Linked DNA regions of Oryctolagus cuniculus. The protein of the gene in region 2 interacts with the protein of the main gene of each other region in a biochemical or structural test. Links are inferred from orthologs where the notes say so. Each region holds a gene or a part of one and is shown on either strand. Other genes may lie near its edges.

Evidence for each region.
Region 1: the proteins of MPDZ (region 2) and HTR2A form a complex in vitro, tested with the Homo sapiens proteins (2 studies listed by IntAct, with this or other methods). The link is inferred for Oryctolagus cuniculus from reciprocal best matches to the Homo sapiens genes MPDZ and HTR2A.

Annotation. Positions count from the first base shown.
Region 1 is NC_091440.1:65,861,964-65,865,463, forward strand, and holds part of HTR2A (5-hydroxytryptamine receptor 2A), read right to left. Parts: intron 788-3,500; coding exon 587-787; intron 1-586. UniProt on the Homo sapiens protein: G-protein coupled receptor for 5-hydroxytryptamine (serotonin).
Region 2 is NC_091432.1:175,926,003-175,929,502, forward strand, and holds the end of MPDZ (multiple PDZ domain protein), read right to left. Parts: coding exon 3,436-3,500; intron 1,585-3,435; coding exon 1,438-1,584; 3' UTR 216-1,437; downstream 1-215. UniProt on the Homo sapiens protein: Member of the NMDAR signaling complex that may play a role in control of AMPAR potentiation and synaptic plasticity in excitatory synapses. Promotes clustering of HT2RC at the cell surface.

The DNA.
Region 1 (3,500 bases), on a different chromosome or scaffold from region 2:
CAAGAGGGTGGGTGTATGGTCAACCTAGCCAAGAGGGTTGAATCACTTGGTGTGGTGTCATAGCAGGAAGAGAGGCCACAGAGGCCATGGGAAAGCTGAAATGCATTGCTCCTAAGCAAGTTTTGCCACTTAGTTCCATCCACACCTTTTCCTTCTGAGCTATGGAATCTGGTCACCTGGAACTTTTTTCTACACTCTAAGGCACTCTTAGTTCTTGAGTATGAGATCTGCATCCTTAGACTGACCACAGGTTCAGCAATGATAGAAAATGAGGTCTCTGGGAAACACCCAGGTTTAGTGACCTTGAATGTGACTTGGGGAGAATAGTGCCATTATTCCTGTGTGTGTGTTAAACCTTACTAGCATTTGTATGATATGCAAAGCAATACACATTCACATTGGCGGGCAATGACATAAACAGATTTCCTTTCCTAAAGCACTTCTCGTCATTACTATGTTGAAACACATCTTGAGACGGGTAACATAGATACAGGATGTCAGGGCTCAGTGCACTGAAACAGAGCAAGTCTCTTTGGAAAGTCACACTGCCATTTCTAAGGTGATGCTGAAATGTGTTCCCACTCACCTACAGAGATGGTCCAAACGGCAATGATCTTCAGAAAGGCCTTTGTTCTGGAGTTGAAGCGGCTGTGGTGGATGGGATTCTGGATGGCCACGTAGCGGTCAAGTGAGATGGCACAGAGGTGCATGATGGAAGCCGTGGAGAAGAGTACATCCAAGTAAATCCAGACTGCACAGAGCTTGCTGGGCAGAGGCCACCTGTACCCTGGGATGCAGAAGGACCATATCAGGAAGCAGTCTTGCGCCTCTTGGGGTGTGTGGGTCATACCCTGTGATAAGTTTGTCTCAGACAGGCAGAGGTGATGGCAAAGGGCAATGAAAGGAACAGTGCTTGCTAGCAACTGTCTTTAACTACATTAAGTCCTGCTGGCTGTGAATAGGGGGTTCACAAGTTTCTAATACCTGAAATTATGTCAGTGCAGTGAGGCATATTCAAATTGTCCCTCTTGAGGGGCCTTCTCTTCTTAAGATTCATTTGAAAATCAGAATTGGGAGAGACAAATCTTCCATTTGCTGGTTCACTCCCCAAAATGGCTACAATAGCCAAGGCTGGGCCTGGCAGAAACCACGAGCTGCTTCTACGTCTCCCACATGGATACAGGGACCCGAGCATTTGGGCAATCCCCTGCTTTCCCAGACACATAAGCAGGGAGCCAGGTCCCAAGTAGAGCAGCCAGGTATCAAACCAGCACCCACATGGGACGTCAGTGCTGCAGGCGGCCACTTGACCCACTACATCACTGTATTGGGTCTTGACAATTTATGTCAAAAGGATGACTTGCCTCTGTTTTTGCTCCATAACTCTGCCTTTCAAATCTTAAAGTTTGACTTAAAGTATGTACATGCTTTGGGGTCCTCTGTTAGCACAGCTTCCACACTACACTGCTGTTATTTACCCGTACGTGTATTTCTCCAGATTGTAGGTCCCTAAAGTTAGGGACTGTCTCTTAGCCATTGAGTTCCATGGTCCAATCCCATACAGTGATGGTAAAGATAGTGCAAGATGATAACTAAATTAAAAATCCACACTGGGAATATGTCTTTGTTCAGAAGGATGAGATTCTAATAACACTGTTAGTACTAAAGTTGTATTTTGAGTGTGAGGGGATGAATTGAAGAAAAGTATGGATGTCTTTGTTCTGAGTTGCTTTTTGGAGGCAGTTGTTCACAAACTTGAGTGAGCAACAGCCTAGATGGCTGCTTAAAACGGGCTGCTGCACCTGCCGCAGAGGTCCTGACCTAGTGAGGCTGGGGCGGGCCCAAGCTAACTTTTTTTAAGTAGGTTCCAGGTGATGGTGATGTCAACTGGTTCACGATCCCACGTTGAGAGCTGCTGCGTAAGGCAGTGGTTCTCATCCCTGGTTGCACTGTCAGTCAGCAGGCTAGCCTTAGGGTAAGTCCTGATGCCCAGGCAAAGAGCAGCCCAGGGAAATCATTTCAGGAGGGTGGGAAGATGTTGGTTCCAACCATAAAGTGTTAAAAAGACAGACAACTCCATTATTAGGTGCATGATGGCTCACCTGCTGTACTAGAAAGTAGGGCATACTTTATGCATGTAAGCAAAGTGTCCTTCTTTGAGTTTTGGAAGGGAATCGATGGCTATATAACCATTAATCCTGATAACCGTAGGAGCAGTGAGGGTTAGCTCTGCCTGCATGTAAGAAAACTTACAAAGCATACTTTCTATTACAGACCTACAAAACTGAACAAACTTTCCACATACAACTCTGCTTTCCCTACCACACAAATGCTACCAGGGTTATTTAGACAAAGGGTGAAGGATACAAGCCTATTATTTCAGACCCTTTCAGTCAAAATGGGACGAATTTGAATTTAAAAATAAGCCTTCAACACTGCCTGGAGCGGAAGCTGGCTTCTCCTGTTCGGATCTGATGTCTGCTGTTGGAGGGGCTTTCCCCTACCAGGAGGTGGCGGAGGCCTAGATAAGGAGGGGGCACTTCCTTGGGAGGGGTGGCTCCGGTCTCGGGAACCGGTGGCACCCTTGTTGGAACAGGCTAAGTGCAGAGCAGCTGCCGCAAGGGGGCGCCGTTGCACCCCGAGTGGGTGGTACCAGGGGTCACGACTGCCTTCTTGCAGCCGTTCCTGTTTAAGCCACCCCTCTGAGTTGGATTCCGAAGTGGGGCGGGGTTTTGGGTTGCGAGGACCTCTTTCCAGCAAGTCTGGGGAAATGACAAGCAAATTTAATGAGATCATTCGGATGTGATACTTATGGTCAAGGTGGCAGTGGGGGTGGGGCTGGCTTTGCTATGCGCAGCAGCCCTGTGCAAACTGTCTGCCCTCCTTCATCACACACGCTTCAGGGTTGGGATGATTTAAAAAAAAAAAACAAAAAAAACCCTAACCTGTTAGCCCCTCAAGCTTGCCCAACTAATCAAGACGGCTCTTGGAACCTGTACCTGAGCTCTGGGTGACTGGTGATGTTTCAATTGTCCGGCTCTCAATCTGGCTGTATTTTTTTAGCATTTGCAGAAAATATCATGTTCTGTGCCTGGCTGAAGTCGTCCCAGTGTTTATTGACTTTGCTGTGAGGTTTGCCTATTTGAAAACCGGAAATGAAAGCAAGACGGTCTTCTACTCTGCTGTATCCCAGAAAGGAGGCGTTGACACACATGCATTTTTAAAGAGTTAGGGGTATAATTCAAAGGCTCGCTCTCATACTGGCTTCTTAGGGCAGGGAACAGTTAGAACGGGAGTAATCCACTTAGGCTAATTGGGGACTCCTGTAGCATTCAGTCCATTCCATTGCCAGTGCTCTTCCTGCAAATGCTCCAAGCTAACTGGAAAGGTTGGGCCATTCTACGAAAAGTGCGGAAAACTGTGTGACAAAGATAAAACTGCGCTCCCTTGAAGGCTGACTGTTTGGGAGTATAAAGGCACAAACAAAAAGTGATTCAAAA
Region 2 (3,500 bases):
CGGAGGAACTTATGAATCTCTCAAATTAGAAAAAGTTGTGGAGGTAAAAATGTACTGGGCTTTTCATAAAGACGCCTTCCACAGTTCCTCTAGTTGTAACTATGGACACCATATGTGCAGTCAGACATGATGAAAACCAGTTTAAGTAAGTCTCGAACAATACAATAAACCTTTTTGCCAGTAAAAAGCACAAAACAAAAAAACACGCCTGCTTCTTTATTTGTGCACCACTGAAACTTCTTATTTATTCACTTTAATTCTTCATTTACACAAAAATGCTGTAATAAAATATCTGTACACTACTTCTGTTACAAATATAGATAATATTTAAAGTGACTTTATATATTCTAATGTAGGAGTTTCACGCTCTAAAATGGGAGTGAACACATGATAATTCCTCACCAGTTGTCGCAATAAACAGTTCCATCTGTTTCCCTTAGTCTTAAACTATTGTATTATAAGATGTTAATATAAGGCAATGAAATGAAGTTATGTTAATCCCCTTAATTTTTCTATCAATTTACTAATGGCACACAACCAAAATAATTACTAATGCATTGCTTTTTTCTCTGTCATTAAGATTAATACTAATTGAAAACCAATTATACAGCAGATCAACACAGTTTTAGTATTGCATTAGTTGTTAAACCAGCAGTAAAAGATTCTTAGATTCTTTAATGTCTCTTCATGATCAGCATGGTTGCTTTTGGAAAATCCACAGTCAACATGGGGTAGTATCATTGTTTTACTCATAGCAACAGGAAAATATTTTATAAAAGGTCAAAAAATGAAAATGAATATCAAAATGTGCATTATGTATAATTTCTTTATAAAGCTTAGGGGAACTGCTTCATATATTTGCTGTTTACTCAATCATAATTCAATTTTAGCAGGAAAACTGTATAATTGGGGAGGTACAATTTTGAATATTCAAAACTTTTAAATGCTGGGAATATTTTAAAAGATTTTCAATACAATTTTTTTTTTTTTTACTGTGGAGAGGAGGTGGGTTGCAAAGTTGATACACATTTATGAAACTCCAAGATTTTCTTCTTTATTTTATATTTTCTTTTTCACCTAATTTGCTAAACACATAGATCTTTGGTTACCTTTACACTTACTTTTCTTTCTCTACTAACCAGTTTAGCACATAAGAATTTTGCCCATGTGATGATAAAATCTTATATATCCCCCCCCCAAAAAAAAAAGGAAAACTGGATTTATCTATGCAAATAAATACTCCTTCTGGGTCTAGGTTCACAAAATGCAAGAGGAAAGAAAAGGTGATACTAGGTTATAAGAAAACCATTTCCGTATGAGAAAAATACTCAAAACTCAAATTAACATTAGGAAAAGTCATCAACACGCCAAGTTCCACAGTCTGTACTCTGAGGGGAGAACAAGGGTGCTTGGGTTGGCTCAATTCTGGCAGGCAATTCAGGAGAGAACCATCAAAGTGACTGTGCCTTTTGTCCGCTTAAGAATGGCAACAGCTTCTTCGTGGGTTACCCCTTCTAGACTCTGTCCGTTGACGGCAATGATCTGATCACCCCTTTTTAGACGCCCATCTTCGGAGGCTGCTCCCTGAAATTACAAAGTAGGCTTGTTTATGTCCCCCAAATGCTGCCGCACAGCCACACAACAGAAGCAGATCTAAACAAGAAAGTAAATTGCTGTGTGTACACACAGTACTCCTGCTGCTCCACAGGTGTTCCGCAGCTACCAGCAATGATGAACATACACAAAACAGCCCTTTTACCTAAAGAGTTTCAGCCCTGAGATTCTAATGTGAGCGGGAATTCTAAAGTCAATAGCTGAGCTGCGTGGTTTTTTGGCTGTTCAGCACAGCAGTTGGTAGGAACTCAAATTAATAAAGAATATTTGGGAATCTGCCTAGGAGGAGAGATTTCACAGAATGCAGGATTTTCTATCCTACAAAGAAAACCTACAGAAAGAAGCCAAAGGTTTAAGACAGAACAAAAGCAGTTTTATAGGACAAGGACAGAACTATAAAACCCAAGGTTTTGCAGAAGCAACCAGCCCACATAAACACTGACTGGAGCAGGATAAGGCCTGACTCCTGCATGTAGAACCTACTGCTAATTCTAATTTTTTTCCCCTATGGCTTTGAAAATGCTGTTCAAGCTGTCTTAGTTGTTACTTCCTAAGGGTAGATGGTTTCTTCATTTCCAATGGGGCCTAAATGATTAAGATTAAACACACACATTGCTGTTTAAAAGAGAACCACATCTTAAGGCATGCTTATAGAATACAATTATGCAATTAAATATCTAAGATTAAAAATATGGAAAAGTTAATGAGGAATCTATAATGATGAAATTCTTAAAATATGTTCTAACTAGCATGCCTTAAATAAATTGTTCCTAGGCTGAGGAAAAGGACTGCGTGACTTTTCTATTCACTGGCAAATGCTGTTTATATTTTTGGATATACCAATAGCTTAGGAAAAAAAAAACTCATAAATTAAACCCATAGCTAGCTTGCTGTAGCTGTAGTGCTTTAAACTGGTTGGAAATAATAAATTTACCTCCCTCCAAAATAGAATGAAGCTTCCATAGATTGAAGGACCATAGTACTAATATAAAGCCCCTATAAGAAATATTTGAAGGATTTGTCTTGCTCCTTTACATCATAAAATTATGAAATTCTGAATTTTCTCCTGTAGGTAACTTTACCCAACTTTGTAGCTCTTGGGAAAATATCTTAACAACATATTAGTAATATTTATGTGGGTTTAAATTATTTTAATAGTTTCACCAATGGTACAATATCTTTATTTTTACTCTAAACATTCTCAAGATAGAACTTCCTCTACAATTACAACTATATATAAGTGGCCTTCTTTTTTTAAAAAAATCAGATTTTGTTGATCACAAATAGTTGATTAAAGATGACAGAGTGGCTCATATTCCTCCAATATTTTAGTGGTTAGATTTCTATTTTACTGAATGAATTAGACTTGTAAAATAAATGCCATATTGGTTAATTTGTGTATGTATTTGATGTACATTACTTTGCCTATTTGATATTTCATAACAAAAAATGCAAAGAAAATAATTCCAGTTCTTTATGGCATACATACTTAAAAGGTCTCATTTTCAAAAGCAATCATGTGTAACTTGCATTCAAAGGAGAAAAAAGGGCTTTCCTAACCACAAAGTTCATTAATAGTGTTATGTATACTGTCAAGAGTTTCCACGGAGCTTCAATTTGAGTCTATTTTCCTTTAAACATGACTAAACCTCAAACTGGACAAAAATATTTAATGACCTATTTCTGTAGGGAGTTTCGAAAGAAAATGATCAACTGTTAACCATTTGGCATTACCTCAGGCCATAAACTAATAAGCCAGCTGCTGACCACTATTAATGAATTTTTCGGGGCAAAGCAGTTGGTTAGAATGTGCAAGCTTACCTTTGCAAACACAGTTTTAACGTAAATGGGTAAGTCTCCATGAGGGCTGCCATAGCCTCCTACTA